Danio rerio: one gene and its partners. The main gene of each other region encodes a partner of the protein of the gene in region 3 in a complex. Links are inferred from orthologs where the notes say so. Each region holds a gene or a part of one and is shown on either strand. Other genes may lie near its edges. The genes, in order: yeats2, tada2a, tada3l, mbip, taf4a, taf12 and dr1.

Region 1 (3,941 bases), on a different chromosome or scaffold from region 3:
GAATACTTTTGTACGTGTGATTTTTCAGGTTTTTTATTTTTAATAAATTTGCAACAATTAAAAAAAAAAAATCACATTGTCATTATGGGGTATTGTGTGGAGAATCTTGAAGATATAAATGACTTTAATCCAGAATAAGGAATAAGGCTGTAACATGAACAAATGTGGAAAAAGTGAAGCGCTATGAATACTTTCCAGATGCACCGTAAGTACTGTTTATTGTCATAAACACATAAAACGACAATGTTGTTTGTTTACCGTTTACTGCTGTTTTTTTTTCCAAGTCATTTCCTGAAAATAAATTAATCTGAAGTTTTAAAACTTCCACATTGCAAAATAAAATTAATATGGCCTGAGAATAACATTACTGGGGTATTTCCATGAGTACTAATAATTATTTTATATTTACTTATTTTTTATTTACAATTTTAAAACTTTCTTATGTTTTCATGCCATTGTAGAATGTGGAAAGTGGAACGCTGATTATATATAAAAAAAAAAAAAAAACTCTAAAATAAGAGCAAAATTACCTATTAGTCAAAAAATCACAGGTGGGAATAGAGCAAATGGCCTGATGCACATTCATAGCTGATATCTCTCTCGGAGTTCTGTGGAGACAAGAAAACAGGATGATGAAAAAGACAAAAAGAAACGTCACGCTACATTTGCTGTCTTAGTATAATGGGTTATTGACCTCTGCGCATTAAATGAGAGGTCTCAAAGTCTTGTCAGGCCGCTGCTTTCTGTTAATGTATGCCCCATCGATCAGGTCCTGCTTGACTGATCATTTAAAAACGGTTCTCTATAAAAAGCAGCCACTGAACACTGTCTAAAAGGCTGATGAAATATTCTGCACAGTGTGTATGGGGCATGTGAATGAAAGCAGATGTGCTGAGTAAGTGGAGCAGCACTGAGCCAATCTCCTCTTTCTCTCTCTACCAGGACTGAAATCTTCAGCTCCGCAACTCAAATAAATCGGACTTTCATGAGCTATTCCCAGCGCTCGGATAATTACACACTATCATAAAGAGCTTCCTCCCACAGCCATGATTGAAAATCGTTAGACAAGACTTTATTGCTCGAGAGTTCATCAAAATTGACGGAGAAATAATGCTAGCGGCTCAACCTGAAAATGAAGAGAGTGGAAGTTATCCTTTAACTCGGAGTCATGTCGGTCTACGCATCTGTCTTGATTAATGTGGTATTGTCATATGGAAGAACAAACTGACCTGTTTTGTTGGGATTTCCCATGCGCATTGGCCAACGATTCCCTGAGGATTTCACTGGAAAACTGTTCTACAGCCTGTGGAGACATTCAGACAGCATTCACAACTTTGACATGTTGCATTATCTATTATAAGTTTGTGTCCAATCCTGGTCAAAACAAATTAAGTAAAAAAGAAATCATTTCTTTGAAACTTAATAAAACAGTGTTGTTCTTTTTCTTATAAGTACAGTATGTGGTGCATTCAAGTCATTTACTGCTTTAACGCAATACATTGCAGGCAAAAACATACACATTTTTTTATTTTTGACTCTTCATAAAGTGTTTTTTTTTCAGTCTAATTTAAATAAAATATTCAAAATACCCTTGTAAGTGTTTCTGTTGTCACGCTTAATCCATTTGTGTTTATACATCTCAAAATGAGCTTTTTCTCCTGCACTGAGCCATAAATCTCTACCTTAGCAGCACTTACATCAGGGGTGCCCTAACTCAGTCCTTTAGGGCCGGTGACCTGCATATTTTAGTTCCTACCCCAATTAAATACACCTAAACCAGCTAATCAAGCTCTTTCCAGGTATACAAGAAACTTTCAGTCAGGTGTGCTAAAAGAAGTTGGAGCTAAATTATGCAGGACACCAGCACTTCAGAACCGAGTTTGGGCACCCCGGACTTACATATAACAAATCTCAGTTTTATTTGTATTTTTTTTCAGTGGAAAGTTTTTACATTTTATTTTACAAAAATATATATTTTTTCTGGCTCTTTGCTGTATTTTATGAAATATGGAGACTCAAAAATCAACTCTGTGAAGACCTTTGACTCCATTATGCCAAAGAACAATTAAACAAGAATATTAAACACGACTTTATCCAATGTTCATGTGTTTGTGCTAAAAATGTATGCAAATTAGAGAATTTCAAATAATTAAAGGTGCCCTATAAAGAAAAATCTGGGTACACCAAGGCATAGCCAAATAATAAGAGATTAGTATGTGAAAATGGGCATACCATGAGCCTTAGACACCACTGTTTCCTTGTTCTTATGCAAATTGTACGAGTGTAAAACTCCTGTTGACAACAGGCCAACCAAAACACAAAAGAGATTCACGGCCATGCCCTCATCATTTGCATGTATGCCTACTTAAGGTCATTCGTCCGAACCTGACAAGCAGCCAAGTCATCAAGAGTCTCATATGTAGCTCTGAGATCTTTAATATACCTGTAAATGCCTCAAACTATGTTTGATAAGCCAAACATTTTCTAGTGAGAAAACAATGATAGTTTCCCTCCTTATTTAGCTATTTTAAAGCTTATATTTAATATTTTTACTATGCATGTGGGACTTTTATTTTGAAAACGCAAGCCCCAAATTGTTAACGATGCTTTACTGGGCAACGACTGCACAAGACATGTTCAAAATCACTTCAGAACGCCTGTATCCACAACAGATCTGGAGAGCAAAATAGGTTAACATTTCTCTGAATAGGTTTATATTTATCCTATTTAGCGTACATTATGCTCTTTGTGTGCGTGTGTCTGTAAAAGCGGTCGTCAGAGCAGGGCTCATTAATATACATGGCAGGAACCATATATGGTCAATTATGGACCTTCTGAGTAAGAAATGAGCATATAAAACCCCTTTTGTAGATTTTTTGAACTTGCAAAAGCCATGAACCGACTATGTAGAAATCAGAGAACAATTTAACTTATTAAACCAATGCAGTATATGGCACCTTTAAATACTGCCTTATTGGCATATATACTGTAAACATAGCATTTTAAAATAAAACTTGCTATAAAATGATTCTTAAATGTAAACAATAAATAATAACTATTATTATCATCATTATTATTTTACCATATTCACTTGCAGTGTCTTGTCTTAAATGTTCAAGCTCTTTAAAGTCAATTGCATTCTAACTGGTTTTCAATAATTAATTTTTTCAGCAGTAAAGCCAATCCTAAATGCAATTAAAACATATATTAATAAGACAGATATAGTGTGAATCTCAAATGACTTTAAATCAAATTTTCTGTAATTAAATAAAAACATATGACTTACTCAACCTCAGATTACTTACCTTAAGAATCATGGCCTCCACAACAGGAGCAAAAACGTTCTTCTCCACCTCCACCTGCTGGAGTGTCACACCAATCTAACACACACAAGCACACACATTTCGTCACATGTAAGACCCATCAGAAAGTCTGGTTGCAGTCAGACAGACATAATTTTTCACCTGCTCCGCCGTGTCTCTGATGAGCTGGGTCGATGGACAGCGACCCATGTAGAACTTGGGCTCTTGTTCAGCCTCTTCCTGTTCCTGTTTGATTTTGACCTTCCCGGCATCTAATTCCTTTACACTGATGATGTCAAGCAGTTCATCGTCCTCCTCATCGGGCTCCGCTTTCAGGATCCTCTGAAGTTGCTCTAGACGTTGAGAAAGTTCTTCACAGCCTGTCAAAGTCGAGCTGCACTCTAATACACACACAAACAAAGACACACACACACACACACACACACAGCACACAATGAAAAAAAAATTTAATAAATAAAACAAAAAAACTATTCTCTTAATCTACACTATGACTTGGTTCTGTTCTGTATTTTGCATGTTACTAGAATTGACCTTTTGCATAATATTTTAAATATTATAATTACCTAATTAATAATAAAATTTGTCTTACAGTGAAGTATACTGTAATTATTAAGAACA
Region 2 (4,571 bases), on a different chromosome or scaffold from region 3:
CTAACTTTTTTCATCATCCATAACGCATGTTTATTTCCCTCATTTAAGATCTAAAAAATGTTTACAGATCGATGTTTTTCTGATCCCATTACTCTGTGGTTAGTTGTTTTGGAAAATATAAACACGTTAACAGTTTCTCTGTGAATTTATGTTTTGCAAAAGTCACATCCATAACGCTGGAATAGCTCAATCATGAATTTAAAACGGTTGGATGATTTTTTCACAATTTATAATAACAACAAGAATAAATGGACTTAAATACAGTGTTTTTTTTTTCAGAGGTTAAGAGACAGAGTAAATGTTATCTTTTCCTAAATTCAATTAATTTAAAAAGCTAAATGGACAATACATAAAAGTGTGCATAACTAAAAATATCAGGGTGATACTTCAAAATAATGGTCTGTTAGTTAATGTTTGTTAATGCATTTACTAACATGAACTAAGCATTATCAAATCTGTATGGCATTTTTTGAGTTCAACATTATTCATTCATTCATTTTCTTGTCGGCTTAGTCCCTTTATTAATCCGGGGTCGCCACAGCGGAATGAACTGCCAACTTATCCAGCAAGTTTTTACGCAGCGGATGCCCTTCCATCTGCAACCCATTTCTGGGAAACATCCACACACACATTCACACACACACACTCATACACTACGGACAATTTAGCTTACCCAATTCATCTGTACCGCATGTCTTTGGACTGTGGGGGAATCCGGAGCACCCGAAGGAAACCCACGCTAAGACATGGAGAACATGCAAACTCCACACAGAAACGCCAACTGTTCGACCCAGCGACCTTCTTGCTGTGAGGCGACAGCACTACCTACTGCGTCACTGCCTCGACCGAGTTCAACATTATTAAAATCTAAAGTTGTGCTTGTTAATATTAGTCAGTGCACTGTGAGTTACGTTGACTAACAATGAACAACTTTATTGTCATTAACAAACGTTAAAAAAGAGGAACAAGTACTGTAATAAATCTGTTGTTCATTAGCATTTCCTCATTTGCTCATGTTAGTAAATACAATAACCAACATTAACAAAAGGAAAAATGAAATTTCATAAAATTAAGATATTGACGGTTCATTTCGCTGTGGTAACCACGCTAAAGCAAGGAAAAGGCCAAAGGAAAGTAAAAGTAAAAATTATAATTATGTAATTTATATATCAATGTAATAACCTAATAATAATAATAATCATAATAATAATTCTAACTTTCATAGTAATCTATTAATACTAAATAATGTATAAAAACAGGATCATCCTGAAGCTGAACCATCGACATTATATAATAGATATCAATTATAAATATCTATGAGTTGAACGCCTCTTATAAAACTATGAGAAATGAATCCGTAAAAAAATACTTACGATGATTTACAGGTGGGAAAGTGATGAAAACGAAATATCTGGTCTGATATTCCTCAAGTGTCCAGTGTAAAGTAGGCTATCAGTTATACTGTAGATGATTATTAAAAGTCACTTGAGAGATCTTGACCTCACTGTAGAAAGGCTGAGCTCGCGAGTCTGTCACATATTCATGTATGTATGTATCGCGCAGGTGCCGCTGAGGGGCGCTGTGGAAGAACGTCACTTCCCCTCCTAATGTTGTTCACTGAGCTGCACAGATCGAGCAGAAGCACTGTGTTTACATTCTCAATAATGTGTTAAACAGAGCATAAGATTATGTTTTTATTCTTTGCTTTTTAACGACGAGGCATAATCGGTACAACCGCCCAGTTTAATTCAGCACAAATCACAGAAAGATCTCAATTTTTTTCCAAACGAGTGGAAGAGGAGGAGGAAGGTTTTACATTTTCCAGATCCCATCATTCATTTACAACATGGATAGACTGGCGTCATTTGGAAGTAAGTTTCTTGTTTAGTAAATCTAGTACTCTTGGGGAAACAGCCTAAATATGAAAACTAAATAGCTCTGGTATTTGATACAGAAATGTACCATAGTAAACGGATGTCAGCTAAAATGACTCTGTAAGAGCCATTTACGACGTACGTTGTATTTTGTGCCATGACAATATTTGAATTTCTCTGGAGTACATCATGTTATGATAATACACTTATTAATAACGCTTAACATAATGCATATTGCAGTACGGCATCTTAAACTGTACCATGCTGCCCCCGATTTGTAATACATATAACTTATATAAAACAAATCAGTGCATTAAAGTATAAAGTCATGATTTCTTTAAAAAAATGTGTATATATATTTTTTTATATAAATAAATAACAATAATTTAAAGTATATATATGAAATAAAATGTAGCATATGAGTTTTTTAATGTTTATTTTTTATACAAATATTTAATTTGTAAATTTATTTATTGTATTTAAAACATTTTATAACTATTTATATTGTGAGTTTAATGAATGTAGTAAATAATTCACAATGCTTTTAAGTGGAATATATGATGCTGTACCATGGTGTTGTAATTCATAAATGGTAAAACAAATTATATTAATGGTAGAAACTATAAAGTAAAATGCAGTAGCTGCAGTGCATTAACTGTAATCATACCTCAGGTGAATGTTGTATTAACCAGAAATAGTTTTAAGACCCCCTTACTGTATACTTTATGCTTCACAAATAGGCATAGGTCGGTATAAGATTCTGACGGTATGAGAACTTTGGATAAAATTATCACAGTTTCACAGTATTATTAGTGCTCTAAAATAAGTTTTTAAATGTCTGGGTGAACAACTAAAACTTTTCCACCTAGTTTGAACACAATATAGTTTATTTTGAGAAACATTTAAAATATTTTGGAAAAGTAAACGTGTCCTAAATTATTGAAATGAATCATTGACTTCTGCTGTTTTCATTAGTTTCAAAACACTGATTTCTTTACAACTTGAAAAGACATCTTCGCAAATGTTTTTCTTCTGGAGATACTGTTGTCCTAAAAAAAACAAACAAAAAAAAAACACGTAAATAAAAACCGTACAAACACCGTAGGAACGGTATAACAGAAAACTTTGGCGGTTTTAAATCATTGACTTTTCCAAACTGCGTTGTACTTTGAAACCTGTTATTGTCCCATGGCTATTCACAAATTAATGTTTTTCTTAAATATACTCTTATTTCCTTATAAACTATATATATATATATATATATATATATATATATATATATATATATATATATATATATATATATATATATATATATTCATTAAAAACTAATTATCTAATAACGTAATAATAACAGATATTTGTAATAAAATACTACATTTGATTTTGGTGGGTTATATTTTTCACTTTTCGTTATAATTCATAGTTTTTTTAATAAGTATCAGCTTTATAACATAGTAATATGTTTTGACATACATTCAAGATTAGCTAAATAAAATAAATGCTTTAAAAATAAAATAATGGTTTTCTTTCACATTTGTAGAATATTTTATAAACACAAGAAATATTAAACATTTATTCTAAGCAACAAACAATAAATCAAGTGTCATATTTGAAAATATATTGTACACTTTTGTAAAAACTGGACTTCTTGAACGTTCTGGTTTGATTAGGTACTGTTTGTGTCTTTTAATGTTATTATTTGTTTCATTTATTCATAAAGAATATTAAATTATTATTTTGTAATTTTGTGACTAGATACAGTAGCTCTAAATCACACTATTTTTTGTGATGTATAGAACAGAATTTCTTTATTTCACAGAAATTATTATTTTTACTTAAACACATACTGTACATGTGTTGTACAGTATGTATTGTATTGTGTTACAATAAAATTTATTTTTAGACATGCTTATATTTTCTCTTTTTCTGACAGCACAATACCATTTGAATTTTTGAATTCAGAAGAATTTTTTAAAAAAAAGTATTATTTGGTGTCATATCCCAGATTTTTTTTAATCACAACAAATTAAAATATTTGGATATTTTATACTAAACTTTATTACTTTGAAAATATTGGATTTGTTTAGGTAAAATTTTAAGTAAAATAAATGTTAATATTTATTTTATTTATAAAATAAATGTTAATATTTATTTTATTGGAATTGTTTTTTTTTTTTTTTCAGAAAACATCCAAAAAGGCTCTAAATGACTAAATTTTTGTTCATGAACTAAACATTATTACTCAAACCCATAGCTAAAATATCCAGTAAATCCAGAGAAACGGAATTTCTTGAGGGTTGATTTGCTGATACCTTCATTCTGTTTCTAAATTTTTTGGTCTTCAGATGATCCTTTCGATAAGCCTCCCTGTCGTGGATGTTCGTCATATCTGGTGGAGCCATACATCAAGTGTGCTGAATGTGGACCGTCCCCATTTCTCCTGTGTCTGCAGGTGCTTTCCTTCCACTGCTGTCTGAATGCATCAATCATACACTGTCACTGATCATGAAATACTCACTTTATGTTTTCATCTTTCTGTTGCAGTGTTTCACTAGAGGATATGAGTATAAAAAGCACCAGAGTGACCACAAATATGAAATCATGGTAAAGTATAGATTACAACACTTAATACATAAGATATTGGAATAAAAGGTATTTCAATGGCAACTGTTTTTTGTTGGTTTGTTTTTTGTT
Region 3 (4,694 bases):
GCATGTTCTCCCTGCGTTCGTGTGGGTTTCTTCCAGATGCTCCGGTTATCCCCCCCAGTCCAAAGACATGCAGTACAGGTGAATTGGGTAGGCTAAATTGTCCGTAGTGTATGAGTGTGTAGGGCTGATCTTAGTCACGATTATTTAGTTCATAATTGTAATCACGATTATTCAAAACGATTATCAGTTGAAGTCAAAATTTCACAAATGATGTTTAACAGAGCAAGGAATTTTAACAGTGTTTTCTAAAATATTTTTTTCCTCTAGGCTCATTTGTTTTATTTTAGCTAGAATAAATGCAGGTTTAAATATTTTGAAACCCATTTTAAGGTCAATATTATTAGCTCCCTTAAGCAAGCTATTTTTTGATTCTCTGCAGAAGAAACTACTGTTATACAATGACTTGCCTAATTACCCCATCTAAGCCTTTGAATCACACTTTAATCTGAATGCTTGTATTTTGAAAAATATCTAGAAAAATATTATGTACTGTTGTCATAGCAAAGATAAAAGAAATCAGTTAATAGAAATGAGATAACAAAACTATTACGTTCAGAAATAAGTAAAAACAACTTCTTTCCATTAAACAGAAATTGGGTAGGAAAAGGGATGCTAATAGGAGGGCTAATAATTCTGACTTGAACTACATATATACAGTTATTTTCCACCCTGTAAAGGAAAAAGAAATAAATACAATAGAATAGAAATATGAAACAAACTGTGTGTGCCGCACACACACATAAGCAGGTGGTCTTTCGCGCTTTTAAGAGCAACACATGTGTACAGCTGGAAAGATGGTGGTATATGATGCAATAATCATTTATCTAGATTTATGCTTTTTCATAATCGTTTGAAGCCAAAATCAAAACCGAAATCGGATTTTAAATGAGTTGGCTACCTGTAGATGTTGCTCGTGCACAGCCACCGATCCTATTGTATTTTATTTAAATCCACTTATTTTAAATATTCAGCGTAGCCTGCCATGGGCTAGGTCTAGAAAAAAAAATAATAATAATATATATATATAAATATATATATATATATATATATATATATATATATATATATATATATATATATATATATATATATATATATATATTTTTTTATAATAATAATAAATGATTATTAAAAAACTAAACAATAAAAACAGTAAGTGAACAATATTAAATATTATTATTATTGTTGTTGTTATTTAGGCCTTCAGTAGCACGGAAACAATCATGCAAACCAGGTGCTGCTCGTAAATGGCTGTCTTTGCTCAGCATCAGGTGCACAGCAGCAAGACGTTTGGTAGGAGAACTAAAGGCATATATTATTATTATTATTATTATTATTATTATTATTATTATTATTAATATTATTATTATTAACATTATTAATATTATCATCATTATTATTATATAGGCCTTGTTAGGAAATAATCATGCAAACTAGGTGCTGTTTGGAAATGGCTATCTTTGCTCAGCATCAGTTGCGCTGCTGCAGGACGTTTGTCAGCGAACTATGGCCTTATTTTAACGACAAATGTCTAAAAATACTGCTAATTTATGTTTTTTTTTTAATTTAGGCATACGCAAAGAATGTTGGCCTGCTAACAGATCAAATGACAGAATATGTAAACTTAGTTTATATATATGATTAAATAACAATAATTAAAAGTCTGGCTGCTGATCCACAGAGTGCTCTTATTTTGAGGGCGACGTTACGAGCTCAGATTTGGTTGACCAATCAGAGGAAAAAGGGCGTTTCAGCACCACCTACATGTGTATAAAGAATTTTGAAGTCGTTAATCCATTTTTCTACCGTAAATTAAAAAAATAAAAATCAAGTCAAAATGTCATTTTTTCGCAAATGAAAAAAAAAAGTCTTTTTCTTTTCTTTTCTTTTCTTCAGTATCCTTTTTTGTTTGAAAACGGATATGAATTGGACGGAAGATACTGATTCTGATTATACACACACCCAATTTATATATTGTGCAGCCCTAATTCAATCACAGGAAAAAAATCACTACATTCTACATTACAAAACACCTGTTTTACAATAAAACATTCTCACAAATTGTATTTCTTCTTCCATTTTATTTTTAAAAAAATAAATAAATAAATGCAGCTTTGATGAGAAGTAGAGACTTCTGTCAAAATCATTGAAAAGTCCCACTGATTCCAAACTAGTGTACGCACAAGATGTGAAAAAGACAAGTGTAAAAACAGCAGTTTTCACCTGTCTCTGTTCCTCCAGTGCTCGGAGACGTCGGCTCGCAGAGGACAAGAGTGTTTCCAGCTCCAGCTGAAGCGTGTCGAGCTCTTCAATGCCAATGCCATCATCCTCTGAGCGGCTGAGCACTGCAGTGTAGCGTGGACACACTTTCACATGGTCCACAGGTTTGAAGTCATAGTACTTTAATGGGGGGCAATCCTTCAGTTCACTCATCTCTGCATTTACAGAAATCTATATCTGTAATGAAATAATAAACAAAGTGAGGGTTAAAAAAAGTATATTCTAATTGTCTTTTTAGTGTTATTAATGAGCAGCACAAATTGTAAATGGTTTTGATCTAGTGGTAACGTTACTAGTGGACAGCTACAGAAAAACAAAACAGAGATGTGTTGTTATTTATACTGTTTGGTGTGTAACAAATCTAATCCTACATGTATTGAATTTTTCACTCTATTATGTAATAGTGATTGCCATATAAGATGATAAATGATATAACGAGCAGCCAATGTAGGCTAACGGCTACAAGCTAATTTAGCTCCATGCTGTTCAAAGCACAGGCAGCCGGTTATAGCATTTACCAGCATATTTGCGTATAGCTTTCAATGAAAAGACTTGTGCTGACAATTAAACTATATGATTAAATACGAAATAGGACGATAAACTCAACTCCTATACTGCATTAATTGATTCATAAAATAGCATTGTTTACCTCCGATGAAGGGGCAACCATTACTGACTAGACCATTATGCCAGTAGGGGGGATACAGCTCGTTGATTACATTTTAAAAACATGAATGTATATCATAAGAGCTTCAATTTGGCCGTTGCACGTTTTCTTAAAATATTGTATAGTTAAATTATTATTCGACATTCGACAAATACCGCTTCCTGTCAGTTGACATTCACAACGCAACACCGCAGTTCATTGAATGGTACATTCGATACCAAAGCGCGTCTGAATGGAAATAAATTGTATTTATTTTCAAAAAAATAATCAACTGTTCAAAGCCACAAAAGAGCTAATGTTTATTTCGGAACATTAATATTTATAGATTACACCCTGTTTGATAAACGTACAATTTATTTGACCTGTCGAGTAATTTGCCATATAAGGAAGAAAAAACGAATCTAGGAAAAACTGCTGCTGGGCTTTACCGTAATTAAACAAAAAGATTTTTCAACATTACTGTTATGTTGTTTTAGTAGCTGTATTATTTTCTTACATTATAATAGTGACAACTTTAGTTTGCATTAACATATGTTTTGTAATTTGACATCCACTCGTGTAAATTTAAACCACGCGCTTGTGAGAATTAAGCTGAATTGCTCTTTCAATAGATAAATTACGGGAGTGTGAGGACGCAATGGAGGCGTGATTCCTCATCTCCAGGCGTGGCGTGCGGACTTCCGTCTTCCTCCACAGACCTCATATAAAATGGTAAGAGATTTTCGATTCTCGAAAGTTGCAAATATTGTTTTTGATTATAGCCCAACCAATTAAATAACCCATGAAAAAGCTTTTCGGTAAAGCATTTTGCATAGAGAAACAGCTTTGATTTCTGGCTTATTTGATCGAGTGTTCTGTCCTGATTTATGCTAGCTAGCTAACGTCAGGGATTTTGCATCCTCTTTAACAGAATCAAAATAATAAATGGATTCGATTAAATACTATTTATGCTACATAAATGTTTTGTTTGATGTGGTATTTGATATGATTGTTGAAATGTATTTATAAGAATAGTTATTGACAACCTGAATTACTATCAGAAGCTCATTGTAATGACAAGCACACAACTGCTCTTCCACTCACTGACAGTCACGTTTTTGTGTATTTACTACGAGTATACGTTCATGAATAATAATAATATGGAGACAACTGTATACAACCATGTCATGTAAATTATTATAGCTCTGTATGATTAAGTATACCTGTACCTCTGTGATGAAGTCATGTTTCCTACGTTTTCATATACACTGAAGTCTTTTTATTGAACAGTAAATTTGTTTTTTTGAGCAAAACATAAAACGATAGTTCACCTCAGAAATGTACTCACTAATTATTCCCTCTGAAGTGGTTATAAACCTTTATGATTTACGTTATTATGTTAAACACTACAGATTATATTTTAAAGAAATATTAAGGAAGTCAGTGGTTACATTTCCAATATATTTCAAAATATCTTATTTTGCATTTTAGGAATATAGGTCAAACAGGTTTGGAACAAGTGAAGAATGAGTAAATGATTACATATTTTTCATTTCGGGGTGAACTATTCCTTTAAGGATGTAAATCTCTCTTAGTAATGATGTCAACTATAAATTTTGGTTTTGGTCATCATTAATTAAAATCTAACAAGTTGCTTCTGCTGTGGAATGTTGGTGCTTTTCTGATGATGTCAGTTTGACAGCTTGGGTGGAATGTGCTTAGCCACACCCCTCCGTTACCCCACCCCCTACTCAATATTCAGTTTCAG
Region 4 (4,445 bases), on a different chromosome or scaffold from region 3:
CACACTAAAATTTAATTCACTGAAACAATGGTTTATGTATCAAAACAACTTTGCCAGACATATTTCTTTTTTTAATAATAATTTTTTCAGAGTTTTTACTATCAACAAACAGGACAGTAGAGACTATTACCAAGAAAGCATGGGGAGCAGAGAGAAAGAGGAAGGGTCGGCATTGGACCTCAAGGTGGAAATCGAACTCAGGTCGCCGTGATCACCGCCGTGAGTGCATTTGTTGATGCACTAACCACTACGTCATCGGTGCCAAACATATTTCGAATAGGAATCATTTGATGACATATAAAAACACTACATAACGGATGCTCCAAAAAAAAATAATAATAATAATAATAATAAAAAATTGTCATTAATTGTCATTTTTAATCTTTATATTTTGCAACTATCCTTCAAAACCACTACGTTTTACCCCAATTTGTAAATATTCATATGATCACTTACTTGTTTAAATATTCCAATAAATACAACTGTGATTTGTGTAAAATATGCCTACATTTTGAAGTGATAAATTTACCTCTGATTTAGCAGCCTTGATCTGCACGTTATCATCGATTTGAGTCCTGTTTCGATCCTCAAGGGCAGCACAGTGGTCAGATGTAAGAGGATCATCAGTAAACATCTGCTCAGATGTATGTGCAGTTTCTTTCCTTTCACCGATGTCTGGGTTGGAACTTGTACAGTTATTTGCCTCAGACTCCACTATCTGCTTCAAACTCTCAGAGACCGACTAGAAGCAGAAGGTTAATAAAAAAAAAACAATGTGGTAAAAGACAGTCTTACAGTGTCTTTATAATGATAAACTGTGTCTTAGCAAGGAGTCAGAAGATAATGTGCAGTAATGCTGGTCATATACATTTAAAAAAAAAAAAAACGCTGATAAGCTAATCAGAGAACCATCTTGAAGGACAAAGGATTCATTTTGCCCTGTCAGTTTTTGTTTTGCAAAAAACACTGAACATATTTACATTTTAAGAACATTATTCAGGAAACAACATTATTCCACTTGCATAATATGAATTTAATAGTGCAGGGCAACGATTAATCGTAGTAAACCGTGACCAAAATATAAATACGTTGTAACATAATATATATGTGTGTGTGTAGTATGCATATTTAAAACACACATATACATAAAACTTAATTTTACAATAAAAAATATTATATATATTTTATATGTAAATGTAAATAAACATTTTCTCAAAAAAATTTAATAAATAGCATATTTATATATATATATATTTATATATATATATATATATATATATATATATATATATATATATATATATATATATACACACACACACACACACACACACACACACACACGCGAACACAAACACACACACACACTTACATACATACATGCATACACACAAACACACACACACACACACACACACAAGCTTTGAATTTGGATGTGATTAATTATAAATAAACATGAGTCAGTACTATGTATTTTATATATTTTAATGATCAACTAAAAGAGTGCACTTACTTTCTATCCCTCAAAGCCTTAATTTCATAAAATAAAAACATTGCAGCAAAAGCTTGTTTCCACCAAAGAAAAAACAAATAAGTAAGGATAACTGTGACTTTTCTTCAACGCATTGTGATTTGATACTTGCAACTGAAAATGATGAACATTATCTCGTAATTCTGACTATTTTCAGTATTGTTACTCTGCATCTCAGGGTTTCAAATGGTTTTGACTTCGTTTATAATAATTTATATCTTGTAATTTAAACGTTTTATCAAAAATGTGAGATACAAATGAAGATTTGTGGGCAATAAAGTCCCTATTCTAACATAAAAAGTCAAAATGCAAGATAAAATATTAAATAGCATTATAAAATTCTGACTTTTCCACCAATAATATATCATGTTTCCTTCTGGCAATACTGATGATATTCTCTGAATTACAATTGTGACATAATGGGTTTAATTTTTTATTCCATTGTGGAAACAAATGTTCACCAATTCTCTGGATAAGGTTCATTACAGATAAGTAAACAAATAAATGGCAAACAAAATTCACTTACAAGATCTATTTAAAGGTTCAGAAGATATCTTTATACTTAAAAAATCAGCTATGTGTGTTAGTAAATGTTATAATGCACATGACTCTGTTTACCTGTAGTTTGGAGATGTGCTGTTGTAAACAGGAGTGCACATGAGATGGCTGAAGCTCACAGATGTTCACATTGTTGACATTGGCACTGATTTTCAATGCGTTATCATCTATTTTTAACTGGAAAATAAGACAGTTTTTTGTTGTTGTTGTGGTTTCTAAATTGTCAATGCAGAAAAGATGCCTAAAACAGACTAGGTGGTTTATTTCGCTGGTCAATATGGTTTGTTAAATGAGTAGTAAGATTTTAGGCACTTGTCAGCTGGGGAGGCAGGGAGTAAAACCAGCTAAAAATTGAATAAAAATCCAGAAAAGAAACATATGAGACCATTATAAAAACTCCAGGACAGGCTGATTATTTCAGCAGTGACAGTGGAAATATTGCATATTACAACTTATTGCAGACAAGTACAGACAAATTATCTAAGTGATTGAAACAAATCATATTAGCGCGGACAAATCATATAATTTTACGACATGGGTGATCTTGTTACTTCGGAAAAGTTCCATAATTTAACGTTACATATTTAGCTTTTGGCATCTCAAATGAAATAACGTTACAAATATGACTGTTAAGAGCTCTATCCCAAACAGTGACACCGTGGCAGAATTTGCTTTTAAACAAACCTTTACTCCAAGCTCAGCGAGGGAGTCGACAATAGAGGCAACGCAGTCTCTGAAAGCATCCCTTTGTCTTGCATGAAGTGAAATCTGGCTTCTGCTTTGCTCTTGTTTACTTGCAGCACACGCACCGCGTCTTTCGCCGTCCGCCGCCATCATTCTTCCGCTCCCGGCTGCTGCGCTGATTGGACCAACGGTCTCCTGCATAACATGACCTCACTTCCGCTAGCAAAATAACGAGCATTTAAAATTGACTACTGCAAATATAAACGAAGGTAAATTACTTTATTTCGATAGTTTAAATATTGACATTGACCGTGTTTAATGTTTATTATTTTGTCCGTCACAAAACAATCTTCTGTTTCACCCTTTTGTGTTTTTAAATCGCATTTAACATTACAATTTATCAATATGACTAAAATGAAACGGGTTTTTATGTATATGCCAAGGGTAATGCATTTACCTGATCATTTCATGTCATTCTTTAAAAAGCTATTTAAAAATACACACACCCAGACAAACAAATAGGGTTCAAAAGGTTGTGTAACGTTAAAGGTAAAGGCCTGTAAATAAAAAATGTATGCCTAAATGATATTGGAAAAAACTGACATTGCAATATTTTCATTCACTGTGATATATATTGCGATATAAATGCAATTTCACCAGATGAATAGCTTGCTAAAATTGAGTTATTGTGTAGTGGAGCATATCTGCATAAAATATAATTTTAAAGGGCACCTATGATGAAAATAATATTTTCTAATCTGTTTGGACAGAACTGTGTATAGGTATAGTGTGTGTCCACAGTCATATTAAGGTGATATAAAGACAATAGGTCTCTTTTTAAAAAATTTCTTAATGTTAAAATAGGATTTAAATCCCTCCTATTTTGAGGCCCACCGCATCGTGACATAGGAGGGCGGTTTCCCTGTCCACCGAATTGATTGACAGCCGCGTACTAACATGTATTAGTAGTAATACGCATAATCATATCAACAAGGCACAAAGTGTGCAAAGCAACTGGGATTAAAAGATCTGTTCAGCTTTCTGTGATCATCAGTCATCATCAAATGTGATCGAGAGTGAGTTTTACAAGTTTAAAAAGTTTTTAAAACAGTGCATGTTTGTAATGAATTACAGAGATTATGCCGTCTTTATCACCACAACAGCATGTCAGTACAATAATATAAAAGACTCCTCAATCCTGGTTTGTGGACATTAATTCAGGCAGTGTATATTAAATGTGCATTAGGGGATCAGCCTAAATGATAACCGGCTAGCATAATATTTTTTAAATTCAATCTCTCCACTGCTGGCCAAAACCACGCCTCCTGTTATCACAAACACGCACATTAAAGATGACAGAGACCCACTAGATCATGTCATTCACCAGTTAGAAAAGTTTATAGTACTTTATAATACTAAAATTCCCAATGAAAAACTGCTTTATATCTAGCATGTTTTCAGTGTTGCAAGCAAAACTTCATAATGTTCAATATTTCATACATGCAAGGATCGCTGGCCTTACTCTCTCTTACGCGTTTTGTCCTAAATCGACACCTGTGTGCTTAGTGATTGGTCAGCGATGTGCAGGAATTACATTTATTAGTAAGTCACATTTACATGCTGTTTCAGACTGAATATTCAGAGTAGAAGGGTAAACAATATAGAGGGCGCT
Region 5 (3,941 bases), about 4.8 Mb from region 3:
AAGTTTATTGATTTGCTTTTCTAACACACAAATCCTACTCTAACGCGCAGTAAGCAGATCTAATTTCTTATTTAAATATGTAAATCCAATTCATATATTTAAAATACAAGTTAATGTTTAGATTTTAAAGATATGCAAATAAGTCATATTTACATGCAACATATTATAAAATGCATCAAAATGAGTTTATATATGAAAATGATGACATATAGCCTATATTTATGAGGTCCAAGGAACATTTCCAGGTTTTGATGAATAGGTTACTATTTGTTAATACTTTACATTTGAGTACAGCAGCTTTCTTTTCACTTTTTAAGAACAGTGCCATTTTAATTCACTTTTATAAGCACATTTTAGTTTAAACGTTGATGTTTTGTTTATTTGTTACCTTTCATCACAGTACAGTGTAAATGTTCAAACTAGTTATAATGTTTAAATTGGCTGACAGTAATAGATATTTATAACAAGAAGAATTAATCTGCCACGTTTTAGATAAGAACTACTGTTGTAAACAATATAAAAGGAGATAGGATGACTATGAAAGTCTATGGATGCAAGTTTCCAGAACTCTTCAGTACTTAAAAAGTTTTGGAAGAAGTGGAGGGTGAACTATCCCTTTAAATGTTTATGTACAGTTGAAGAATTTTTAGCTCCCCTTTTGATTTATTTTCTTTTTTAAATATTTCCCAAGTTATGTTTAACAGAGCAAGAACATTTTCACAGTATGTCTGATAATATATTTTTCCTCTGGAGAAAGTCGTATTTGTTTTATTTTAGCTAAATAAAGTTACTTTAAAGCTAATAAAAGTTTAAGGTCAAAATTATTAGCCCATTTAAGCTATATAGATAGTCTACAGAACAAACCATCAATATACAATAACTTGCTTAATTACCCTAACCTGCCCAGTTAACCTAATTAACCTAGTTAAGCCTTAAAATGTCACTTTAATCTGACTACTAGTATCTTGAAAAATATCTAGTGAAATATTATGTGGTGGTGCAGTGGGTAGCATGATCACCTCAAAGCAAGAAGGTCATTGGTTCGAGTCTCGGCTGGGTCAGTTGGATTTCTGTGTGGAGTTTGCACGTTCTCCCTGTGTTTGTGTGGGTTTCCTTCTGGTCCAAAGACATGCGCTATAGGTGAATTGGGTGAGCTAAATTGTCTGTAGTATATGTGTGTGGATGAGTGTGTATGGGTGTTTCCCAGTGATGGGTTGCAGCTGGAAGGGCATCCGCTTGTGTAAAACATATGCTGGATAAGTTGGCAATTCATTCTGCTGTGGCGACCCCTGACTAATAAAGGGACTAAGCCGAAAAAAAAAATGAATGAATGAAATATTATGTTTTGTCATCATGGCAAAGATAAAATAAATCAGTTATTAGAAATGAGTTATTAAAACTATTATGTGTAGAAATGTGTTGAAAAAAATCTTCCCTCTGTTAGCAGAAATGGGTAAAAAAATTAACAGGGAGGCTAATAATTCCAGGTGGCTTATAATTCTGACTTTAACTGTATGTAGTGGTGATTTTAATGGTTTAATAATGGTTTTGTTTCCAATTAGCGTTTTGTTCAAATTTCTGTAAGCACTTTTCAGTCCTAAATGTTTTCTCTTTAGGTTAAAACAAACAGTTTTTTGTTCTTGTATTTTGACCCCAGTGTTTTGAACTTATTTTTCATTTGTGTTTTTTTCTTCTCAGGAAGGGAAGATTGAAGCAGAGGAGTTCACCAGCAGGCTCTACAAAGAGCTCAACTCCTCTCCTCAGCCTTATCTAGTGCCTTTCCTTAAGGTACAGATATTACAGTTCTTAAATCTTCAAGGACACACAATTCAATCCATTTATGCACATAGTTGTTTTACAGGTGCATGACCCAGGTACTTAAAGTGTAATTAACTCTTATTAAATGATTAATTAACCTAAGTGTCCAGTAATTGTAGAAAATCATTTAGGAGCAAACCAGGATTAATTTCACACACACAGAGCATATTGATCATGATTGAGCAGCTCTTAATCCACTTATATAATATTTATATAACATAAGCATGTAATATTTATATTATTTTTTTATTAATTTCTTAGTTTATAAGTTTCTTGTTTAGTTCTGATGACTGTAGCTGATTAAAAGATTTTTGTTTTTATTTGCATTTTTGTACCTGTAATGATTTATTACCAACTAAAAGTTGGTTAACAGGAGCGTTTTGTTGCTAGGGGTTTTATAGACTTTAATAAAACCAGAATTGTTATACAATTGTTGATCAGAAAGTGTGAGCTGCATGCAGATACATCTTAAGATTTTAAAATCTTTCCCCATCCTATAAGAATGTAGATGGTATGACCCAATAATTTCTAAATATTTTGAAAGCAAAAATATCCAATAACAGGGTTTTGTTTTTCTTACTGTATATTTACAGTATATGATAATGAAGTAATAGCACATTGAAATGATGTGTGCAGTTTTACCGGAGATGGCACAATTGTAAATGTGATAATTGATTTTTACAGTTCAACAAATAGGACGTTAATATTGAGAGAGTCACGTCAGATGCATAATTGAGAGAGACACAATATATTTAGATTATTACCTGTTTTATTAATGAAAATGATTTCTAACAAAGCCGCGAGTAGAACATTTGTTTGTCTCAGAGGATCACTTCAGTGTTTGAGTCAATCATTCATAAAAAAGAACGGTGCTTTCTGCCACTTTGGCAGTTTCATGCCTATATTTATTTATTCAGAATATTATTTAATTGTTGTTATCAGAATCTTATTAAGATTTTTTTTGTCAATGTCACACAGCCCTATTTGTTGCCCATAATGATTGTTCTCTTTCCACAGAGGAGTCTTCCAGCTCTGCGACAGCTCACTCCAGACTCTACGGCCTTCATCCAGCAGAGCCAGGCCCTCCACTCACCCACTGTGGTGTTGACCAGTCCCAACACTGCTGGAGGCACCACCGCAGCCCCTCGTACACTCACCCAGCCAGCCCTCAGCAACTCCAGTCAGACTGCCTCTCTGGTAAACACTCTTCCACATGCCTCATTTACTGCAGGCACAATGACACCGCTGGTTTGCACTGATAATTTTGTTTTTACAATTGATGTTGATGATATTTGATGTTGAAACAAACCTACATGAATACAAACCTTGTCACTTTTTGAAATCTCTGATTTAGTTATTAGACACACTCATTAATTCTGATTGGCTGGATTGGGAGCAACAGTGTGGTCAGAATGGTTTTTCAAATATTGCTGAGTGCAGCTTTAAGGCTAACAGTACATTACTGCTAAAGCAAGTGTTTAGTCTTACTCTTCGCTGATTTTATTTGTGCATAGTTTCATGCTGAAAGTCGCTCTGTGCTGTCAGTTAATTCTAAAGAATATAGTGTATGCATTTTATTGGTGCACAATATTGATGATTGAAAACAGGGTATAAAACTGTGGGGGGTTTTTTGTACATAAGACGACTTTTAAGTGCTGGTTCTTTTTAATGAACCATTCAAAAGATTTCGCTGAATAGATTTTATTTGTCTATGGTTTGTGTGTTTATGGACCATAGAACCTATAAAAATGACCAGTATTCAAGAAAGTATAATCTGAAACACTTTTTGTATAATGATGGTTTGTTCTGTACACTATCGGAAAAAAAAATAGCTTAAAGGGGCTAATAATTTTGTCCCAAAAATGTTTTTTAAGAAATTAAAAACTGCTTTTATTCTAGCCGAAATAAAACAAATAAGACTTTTTCCTGCACGAAAATATAACTGTATAACTGTCATAATAAACAAAAATATAGTTAAAATGACATAGTTTTTTTGTTTGTCGTATACAATTCCTATGGTTGACCATTTATGTGATGTGGGTAAAAGATGTGTTTCAATCCAGCTACCACCCCAAGTACAGTTTATTTTAAACCTGTGGGAAGCAATGTGTGTGTGTGTGTGT
Region 6 (4,098 bases), on a different chromosome or scaffold from region 3:
CTTATTTGTTTTATTTCGGCAAGAGTAAAAGTAGTTTTAATTTTTAAACACCATTTTAAGGTCAAAATTATTAGCCCCTTTAAGCTATATATTTATAGTATACAGAACAACCCATCATTATAGAACAACCTGCCTAATTACTCTAACCTGCCTAGTTAACTTAAATAATCTAGTTAGGCCTTTAAATGTCACTAAGCTCTATAGAAGTATCTTGAAAAATATCTAGTAAAATATTATTTACTGACATCATGGCAAAGATAAAATAAATCAGTTATTAGAAATGACTTATTACAACTAATATGTTTAGAAATCTGTTGAAAAAAACTGCTCTCTGATAATAATTCCGGATTCAGGGGGTTTAATCATTCTGATTGCAACTGTATATTAGACCTGAAATATCTGTTTTTGTCAGTTCAAGAATTTAAACTATACTATATTTGTACTATAATGCATTATAGTGTGTGTGTGTGTGTGTGTGTGTGTGTGTGTGTGTGTGTGTGTGTGTGTGTGTGTGTGTGTGTGTGTGTGTGTGTGTGTGTGTGTGTGTGTGTTTTTTTACTATATTTGTACTATAATTCATTATATTTTTTATGAAGAATGCATTGATTTTGTCAAATTCAAATAACAATAACACTATTACAACAACAACAACAACATCAAAAAATAAATAAGTGTTTTTTTAAATGCTGCTTTGTTTATCAAATGATGCATAAAAAATTAAAGATGATAAAACTAACATACTTGAGCACAGACTCAACAAATTCAGAATGATTTCTGAAGGATGAAAAAAATGAAGATTAGTTGAGTAATGCCATCACAGGAATAAATGACATTTTTACATTTTATAATTATTGTTATTATTTCATTACTTTTATTAGCGATTACAGCCTAAATGAAAAAGAACAGTAGAAGGATATGCTAACATTACTGTTACTACAGTGTTGTCTGTTGACCATTTGTTTCAGATGCTGTTGCAGATAGCTGATGACTTCATTGAGAGCGTGGTGACTGCTGCATGCCAACTGGCCCGACACAGGAAGTCAAGCACTCTTGAAGTAAAAGACGTCCAGCTACACCTTGGTGAGGATCTTAAATGATCATTTTATCCATGGACTTGAGTGCTTCATTTGAATACATTTGAATAAGTACACTTTTAAAAGGGTAATTCACTCAAAAATGGAAATGTATTCCTTATTTACACTAAAAGAGATATTTTAACAAAAAGATGAAAACCAGTGAAACAGAGGCCAGCAAAGTGAAGTGCTATGCTGGTTCAATGGGTTGGGTGCAGTAGGACCGGTGGGCTACAGATGGGGGCTCGTCCAGGATGGGAGTGAGGTTTAAGGGGCTGACTGTAACGAAGGCCAGCTAGTGAAGTGCTACGCTGGTAAACCTCACTCTTCTGACCTATAAAGGTGCTTTATCAACAGACGCTAGAGGTCATGGTCTTTAGCCTCCTTGTTAGAGCAACCGACTCCCACACAAAGAATCGCTGGTTAGATCCCAGCTCAGAGCGAGTTGGGTGCTATAAGACTGGTGGGTTACACTTGGGGGCTCGTCCGGGATGGAAGTGAGGTTTAGGGGGTGAGTGTAACGAAGGCCAGCTAGCAAAGTGCTAAGCAGGTAAACCATATTCCTCTGAACCTCTAAAGGTGCTCTAAGGACAGACGCTAGAGGTCATGGTCTCCTTTTTAGAGCAACCAACTCCCATACAAAGAATCGCCAGTTCGATCTCAGCTCAGAGCAGGTTGGGCGCAGTAGGACTGGTGGGTTACATGTGTAACCATTGACTTCCATAGTAAGAGAAATGCCTAATATGATTGTCAGTGGTTAGAGTTTTCAGACTTTCTTCAAAATATCTCCTTTTTTGTTCAACAAAAGAAAGAAAGTAATAAATGTTTGGGAACACTTGAGAAGAGTTTTTTATGCAAACTATGTCTTTAAGGGTATTTTATAGTCGTTTAATAAGTGACATGTTTTTCTTCTTATTTTAATACCGTTTGAATAATTAAACTTAAAGGGATAGTTCACCCAAAATGGAAATTTATTCACTGTTTACACTAAAGAAGATATTTTGAAGAAAGCTGAAATCGCTAACTTCCATAGTAAGAGAAATAAATACAATTTAAGTCAATGGTTACAGGTATCCAACTTTCTTCAAAAGATTTCTTTTTGTGTTCAGCAAAATCAAGAAAGTCATAAATGTTTGGGACCACTTGAGAATAAATAAATAAATGATGACAGAATTTTCAGTCTTGAGCAGACTATCCCTTTAAGGGTATTTCATAGTGATTAATGAGTGACATGTTTTTCCTCTTATCTTAATACCGATTGAATAATTAAACTTAAAGGAATAGTTCACCCAAAAATAGAAATTTATTTACTATTTACACTAAATAAGATATTTTGAAGAAAGCTAAAATCGCTTCAGTTTTAGGCAAACTATCCCTTTAAGGCTGTTTTATAGTTTGAGTTAGATGTTTTTCTTCTCATTTAAATACCATTCAAATGAATTATCCCACATAGTTTGAATGTCTATTTTTAAGAACTGTCCTCTTGTATAGTGAGTATACTAAATTTTCAATTTCCAGAACGACAGTGGAACATGTGGATTCCTGGTTTTGGCTCAGATGAGATCCGACCGTATAAGAAGGCTTGCACCACAGAAGCTCACAAACAGGTCAGCCATGCACTAAAACCGATCACCTAAAGATGATTTTGAACAATCACTTCACTAAATATGATTTCTGTTCTTTCAGAGAATGGCACTGATCCGCAAAACAACCAAAAAGTAGCAAGATTGGAATCACCAACAAACTTTATTTCCCTGCAAGTTTTGGAAAGTGGAGAGGGTTTGAACCTATACATGTCATGGTAATCAAAGGGGCAAAAAAAATGCGATGTACTGTTTGCAGTACAGTTCTGTTGACATTTCGCGTTTTGGAAGGTGCACAGAAATTATTGTAATTTGTCTGTACAGTTCACTTTGCGTTAAAACCACCACGTGAACGTTTTGTTTTGGGCACCTTGGTGCTATCCTGGGGTTTTATTATATAATAGAATCCCTCAAAGCTCTGCTAAAAACATAAATTGTTTTATTATATTACCCACAATCCACATTTTCCTTTCATATATCTCTTGTATAGACTCTTTATGCAGTCATAGATCTTTTGCTGAGCTGGCATTAGAAGCTATGCACATTTACAATCATCATGTGTCTGATTTGTTTATAGTGTTTGCTGTTCTAGAATTCGTCAATTAAGTAATATCTAGTGCTATAGAGGAATCCCTAGCGTGGTACTTTTTGAAGGTAAACCAGAGAGATGATTACCACTTCCCTGTGTAATTAATTGCATTGGAACTAGTGAAATAATCCAAATCTTAATTGGTTTAGAGAGGGATATATATGTGTGATGGTGCGCAAACCCCTTCTGCTGTGGGTTTGCGGGCAGGTTTAAACCTTTTTGTGGAGTTTTTTTTTGGTCATGTATCACAGTGTTTTACAGTCTCCTGTTTTTCATGAATAAAAAAAAAAACTAATTGTGATTTATTCACACCAAAGTCAGTCAGGTTGTGTATGACATTATTACAGAAATGACTGGAAAAAAATAAAAATAAAAATAAAATAAAATATATATATATATATATATATATATATATATATATATATATATATATATATATATATATATATATATATATATATATATATATATTTCTACAAACCTTTACAAGTTAGTATACCTTTAATAAATCTTCAGGATAAGCTCTTAAAGGTGCAGTATGTAAGTTTGACACCCAGTGGGGTGAATTAGGTAGTGCGCTCCTGGTTCAAAACATACGCAAGGGCAGGTTGCCAGATTGATGACACCAACAGCAATGTGCCTGACTGTCGAGCCTAAAGGCTTACTTAAACTGTTCTAAATAAAAGCAACTGCACTCGATACAAGGAGTATTTTCAGGGCTTGACGTTGACTTTTTTGATCACCAGCTACTGTGGCTAGTAATTTTCCTACGTTACTAGCCACTTGCCATTTTCGCTAGCCACATTTTTGCTGGTGGGAAAATATATTTTATATGCATAAATTTGACTTTGAC
Region 7 (4,579 bases), on a different chromosome or scaffold from region 3:
GAGGTGTAAATGTTCCTCTGTGTCGAGTTTCTTCGCTTCTGTTTTGCTATTCTGAACACTTCCTGGATGTACAAGTGACTCAAACTCGCTCATTTTGAGGCAGGAACCGGCGGACGTGCAATAACTTTTACCATGAGGTAAACACAGAACAAAACTTTCCATCCGGAGCTCCTTCACAGGACTCCACACTTGTAAACAATCGCTCGCGCCATTCTCGCGGCTCTCGGTCCCGCCCAGACTCGTCGGCGCTAGCAAGCCGACCAATCACAGAGCTTGCGCTACGCGTCGTTACAACGTGTAGTTACAATTTTTGAGAGGTGCACGTCAGTGACGGCGACGGCCACGGCGAAGGGCTATGCGTCAGCGACGTAGCCTACGCCGGTGTTTGACTCAGAAGTAAAAATCAACACTTCCCGCCCGTCACAGCGTCTAACAAAGGGGCGGGGTGCGTGGTGACGTCACCAGCATCCCCGCCCCTTTGTTTACACGGCAGGCGGGGAATGCCAGTGACCGCTGTGTACGGATAGAATCAGCGGTCGGCGCGGGCCACAAAATATTGCACTGAGGGCCGCAAATGGCACGCGGGCCGCGAGTTTGAGACCCCTGTTTAAGGTGAATTGTTTTCTCACCACAAACCTAGGGCTTGGCGATAAAACCATATTTATTGTAATAATTTTTCCCTCTGTAAAACAACACGTTATAAATGTTTAACATAATAGTGGAATACATTAGCATATCATAACTGCATTGTTCCTTTGCACAACATAGATTGTTTATCCATTAGCACAAACAGCTGCTCGAGTTTGTTTGTATGTTCACATGCTAAAGGGTCTTGCTCATTAGGTTGGATGTTTGTCATCTTTGACAATAAAATTTAGTTTTACAATTTACTATTCTGGTTTTTGGAACTTTCTCCCAGAGGCTATAATCTGCACTTTAACTAAAGAAATAGACATTTTATTTTGATAATTATTGATACTGACTCTGATGTAAACAATTTTAGCATATTAACATGGCCATACTGCCCAGTCCTACATAAACCACCGCATCATTTATTTTCAAGCGTCTCAAGACCACTTGCAGACCAATTGAACAAGGAATAATTTACAATAGACCATTGAATTTAGGCATAGAATGATAACCATTTTCAAGGTATACCGCGGTATGAAAAAGTCAAGGTTTTAAAACCATCAAATTTTTTTGCAATACTGTTGCTAAGGTGATGTGTAAGATTGTTTATTTACATTTTTCTTGCTTTTTTTTGGACAACAGTTTGTCCAGCATAAAAGATATCCAAAGATGCTGTTTTTAACTGTAAAAAAAAAATGTGTTTTTGAAATAAGTGAAGACAGCAGAAGTCAATGATTCATTTGAATTATTTAGTCTGAAGTTTACTGTTCCAGAATATTTTAAATGTTTCATAACATAAAATATATTGTGTTCAAAAGGGATTTTTTTGTTTTGTTTTACCCCGACATTTAAAAAGAATATATTATTTTAGAGCAGTAATCACAATACCATGAAACCGTGCAATTTTTATCAAAGGTTATCATATAGTCAGAATCTTACACCAGCCCATGCGTATTTAATTATTCAAAAATAATGCACAACCAAGGTGGTGATGCGGCCACAATGCAAAGCAGATGTGCATTATTTTCTAATTTAATGAATAAACCAGAGTAAATTATTCCACTTGTACTATGGTTTCCAGACTGAAAGACGTAATTTAAGACATTTGAGAGGTTTTTTCCATTAAACAGCTCTTGTGTGTTAAACTACTAAAGTCTTGTGCATACCAACTCATTATTTGATTTGTGACACTTGCAGCTTGTGAAACCATTCAGCATAATGATATTGAACTATAATGCTGTCTGGAACTGCTTTAGCCGTTTAAATAATTGAAAACTGAAAATAATTGCACACCTTAGAATGTTCATCAGACAATCAGAATCAAAAGTAGTATATAGAGGTAAAGTTGGTTTTATATTTGGATATATTTAGACATTCTCCTTAATAATAACATTTCAGAAAAGTATTCTTTGCTAATTCTAAATAGGGAAATCATATTAGCAGCAAATGACTATTAAAGTACAACACTGTTCACACAGATAGTGTAAATGTTGTTTAGAAGTCATATTTCCATGCTAATTCCGATTGAATATTCAAGGCAGGATGGTAAACAATATAGGGACTGCTAAATGAACGAATGTGCGAATATAAAACTAACTTTACCTCTACAAGTAACGTTACTATAACTCTGAATAAACGATTCGCCTTATTACAAAAGCTTTGAATGAATTAAGTGCAGAAACGAACAATTTGTTGTTGGAATCTCACAGCATTGAACAGAAGTGACATACTGACCGTTTATAACATGTTCCGGGGATATAGTTTTCTTTTCTGATTTATTGCAGATCTCGTTGGCCTCTGATGAGACGAGGTGAATGAACTCTGTGCAGCAGTTTACCACCAGCTCTCTGGCATCGTTCGCTACCCGCACATTGGGAAGCGTTTCTTTGATCATTTTATTGATCGCCGCCCTCGGGATGGTCAGATCATCGTCGTTCCCCGAAGAAGATGCCATGAGGGATGAGCAGCCGAGACGCTTCTGTGTTTGAAGGAGTCAAACCAGGAGAGGAGGCTCAACGGCTTTGTTGATGATAAAACACCGACAGCAGCGGCGGCTTTGTGTGGAGACTCAGATGGTGCGGTCGGTTTTCTCGGAGCAGATCACGAAAGGCTGGGAATACACACACGTGAACACATTTGAAAATCCGAAGACGTCGGAAAGACTGTGAGTGTTTGGCACAAGGAAGGGAGGAGGATGAGAGTCGGTACCTTTCGGTTTGATCAGTTTACGCTGACTCTCCACATCCACACATCAGTGCTGCTGCTTTTGCTGTGCACGTTTATAATCATGATTCAACTCCAAACATTCATTCTCGAGCCGCCTGGGTAACTGAACAGATCCCGCGCTTATTAGACTAAAGCACGGGGAGGAATGTTTTAAGCACCCGAATCTATTAATTCATTACTTCACCCGCTCGGTTAGCGATCAACGAAACGAACCCCACAATGCAACACTCCCGGATATCCGGTAATTCTTCTGCTTGTTATTGTTTCGTGGTGTTGCTCGGCATTGCCGCCTACTGTACAAAAATGATGTTACAATTTATGCGCATGTTTTCTGCTAAAAAAACAAACTGGCAAAAACTTTTTTTATTGTTTCAAGCTGAACATACAAATAAAATGGAACATATTTACAATATTCCATACTGTCATCTCAAGGTTGAGTAATAAAATAGGCAAACACAATATACATCGAAAGAATAAAACGACCAGTTTTTGTTAAATGAATTGCAATAAAATAATAAAGGAGCTTAGAAAATTAAATTAGCTTATAAAAATCCCAAAAATAGATGAGGTTATGGGCTTTTTTATCATTCAACAATTTTACAGATTCGCACAAAAGTTTTACCTCATTCACTGATTAAAGGAGTAGATTTGAACCATCTGCATTTGTGAATAAAGATTTTTCCCAAGCATAATAGAACAATGACAGCAAAATGAAAATTCTTTGTTTTCAAAGATACCAAACTTAACTGTTTTTGAGGGGAGGGAAATATACAGTCCTGGGGCCTCATGTATCAACGCTGCGTATGCACAAAAACTTTGCATACGCCAGGTTTCACGCTCAGAATCGCTCACGTTTGGATTTACTAACGATGAACTGAACGTGGGAATGTGCGCGGCTCCACGCCAGCTTTATGGCTGGCGTACGCACATTTTTTGTGCGTGTCTGTTTTATTTCCATTGGCGACTCGACAGTTGTGTTAAATTGCACTCTACAAAGTGTCTTTGAGCCTTGCAATGGCAGCTGTAGGAGACGGGTTCATCTAGCAGGTATATAAGATTTCCATAACATACAGTTGACCAGCCAAACATTAAAGAGCAATTTGCAGCGGTCGCCTGTTTTCCCATTGTAGTGGGGGCGATCTACTTCACGCACATTGCTATAAAGGCACCAACTGAAGATGAATTTGCACGCATGAATCAGAAACATTTCCATTCAATAAATGTGCAAATAAAATATGATGCACATACTTATTAATGATTCCTACTTGTCTTTCTCGTGATAAATAGTAGGCAAAATCTGATATGCTGGAAAAAAAAGAAGAATGAGTTCATCAGACGCTGGATTCGAACCGAGTTCATGCTCGAACGTGTCAAAACATGCTACCTTGCGTTTTACGATCTGTGCCACTGAGACTATTAAGGGTATTACAACATTTTACACCTATAAATCACACTATTTCTCTTTTAACTCCACAGTGCGTTGTTCAGATCCAACTGTGTTAACCGCATCAGCTAAACTCTCCCCACTCTATTTTTTCTTTTGTTGTTAATTCCGGAGGACAAACTTGCAAATAACACAGTTTTCCTCCGGTCTACCTCCGAAAGCAGCACCTTCAATTCACATTCTGTTCAAAGATTCTCTTTTTTCTTGCTTTTGCCTTTGCTTTTTCGTTGGGTTTTGCCAAAGTAGAGTCATTAGCATATTCATACGAGTGAGGAGGCA

Evidence for each region.
Region 1: tada3l (region 3) and yeats2 share a complex: the UniProt entries of both Homo sapiens proteins name them as parts of the ADA2A-containing complex. The link is inferred for Danio rerio from reciprocal best matches to the Homo sapiens genes TADA3 and YEATS2.
Region 2: tada3l (region 3) and tada2a share a complex: the UniProt entries of both Homo sapiens proteins name them as parts of the ADA2A-containing complex. The link is inferred for Danio rerio from reciprocal best matches to the Homo sapiens genes TADA3 and TADA2A.
Region 4: tada3l (region 3) and mbip share a complex: the UniProt entries of both Homo sapiens proteins name them as parts of the ADA2A-containing complex. The link is inferred for Danio rerio from reciprocal best matches to the Homo sapiens genes TADA3 and MBIP.
Region 5: tada3l (region 3) and taf4a share a complex: the UniProt entries of both Homo sapiens proteins name them as parts of the TFTC-HAT complex. The link is inferred for Danio rerio from reciprocal best matches to the Homo sapiens genes TADA3 and TAF4.
Region 6: tada3l (region 3) and taf12 share a complex: the UniProt entries of both Homo sapiens proteins name them as parts of the STAGA transcription coactivator-HAT complex. The link is inferred for Danio rerio from reciprocal best matches to the Homo sapiens genes TADA3 and TAF12.
Region 7: tada3l (region 3) and dr1 share a complex: the UniProt entries of both Homo sapiens proteins name them as parts of the ADA2A-containing complex. The link is inferred for Danio rerio from reciprocal best matches to the Homo sapiens genes TADA3 and DR1.

The regions. Positions count from the first base shown.
Region 1 is NC_133177.1:47,842,456-47,846,396, reverse strand, and holds part of yeats2 (YEATS domain-containing protein 2), read right to left. Parts: intron 3,704-3,941; coding exon 3,465-3,703; intron 3,381-3,464; coding exon 3,306-3,380; intron 1,304-3,305; coding exon 1,230-1,303; intron 609-1,229; coding exon 531-608; intron 1-530. UniProt on the Homo sapiens protein: Chromatin reader component of the ATAC complex, a complex with histone acetyltransferase activity on histones H3 and H4. YEATS2 specifically recognizes and binds histone H3 crotonylated at 'Lys-27' (H3K27cr).
Region 2 is NC_133190.1:18,215,094-18,219,664, forward strand, and holds the start of tada2a (transcriptional adapter 2-alpha), read left to right. Parts: upstream 1-1,607; 5' UTR 1,608-1,846; coding exon 1,847-1,871; intron 1,872-4,222; coding exon 4,223-4,329; intron 4,330-4,421; coding exon 4,422-4,481; intron 4,482-4,571. UniProt on the Homo sapiens protein: Component of the ATAC complex, a complex with histone acetyltransferase activity on histones H3 and H4. Required for the function of some acidic activation domains, which activate transcription from a distant site. Binds double-stranded DNA.
Region 3 is NC_133186.1:18,274,406-18,279,099, reverse strand, and holds the start of tada3l (transcriptional adapter 3), read right to left. Parts: upstream 2,955-4,694; 5' UTR 2,888-2,954; exon of another isoform or gene 2,799-2,887; intron 2,458-2,798; 5' UTR 2,434-2,457; coding exon 2,224-2,433; intron 1-2,223. Other genes in the region: arpc4l (actin related protein 2/3 complex, subunit 4, like), read left to right, coding at 3,656-3,658. UniProt on the Homo sapiens protein: Functions as a component of the PCAF complex. The PCAF complex is capable of efficiently acetylating histones in a nucleosomal context. The PCAF complex could be considered as the human version of the yeast SAGA complex.
Region 4 is NC_133192.1:40,162,710-40,167,154, reverse strand, and holds the start of mbip (MAP3K12-binding inhibitory protein 1), read right to left. Parts: upstream 2,939-4,445; 5' UTR 2,927-2,938; coding exon 2,774-2,926; intron 2,267-2,773; coding exon 2,150-2,266; intron 743-2,149; coding exon 530-742; intron 1-529. UniProt on the Homo sapiens protein: Inhibits the MAP3K12 activity to induce the activation of the JNK/SAPK pathway. Component of the ATAC complex, a complex with histone acetyltransferase activity on histones H3 and H4.
Region 5 is NC_133186.1:23,068,466-23,072,406, reverse strand, and holds part of taf4a (transcription initiation factor TFIID subunit 4), read left to right. Parts: intron 1-1,698; coding exon 1,699-1,788; intron 1,789-2,835; coding exon 2,836-3,015; intron 3,016-3,941. UniProt on the Homo sapiens protein: The TFIID basal transcription factor complex plays a major role in the initiation of RNA polymerase II (Pol II)-dependent transcription.
Region 6 is NC_133191.1:38,666,153-38,670,250, reverse strand, and holds the end of taf12 (transcription initiation factor TFIID subunit 12), read left to right. Parts: intron 1-965; coding exon 966-1,080; intron 1,081-2,591; coding exon 2,592-2,680; intron 2,681-2,759; coding exon 2,760-2,795; 3' UTR 2,796-3,565; downstream 3,566-4,098. UniProt on the Homo sapiens protein: The TFIID basal transcription factor complex plays a major role in the initiation of RNA polymerase II (Pol II)-dependent transcription.
Region 7 is NC_133181.1:26,454,127-26,458,705, forward strand, and holds the start of dr1 (protein Dr1), read right to left. Parts: upstream 3,090-4,579; 5' UTR 2,585-3,089; coding exon 2,365-2,584; intron 1-2,364. UniProt on the Homo sapiens protein: The association of the DR1/DRAP1 heterodimer with TBP results in a functional repression of both activated and basal transcription of class II genes.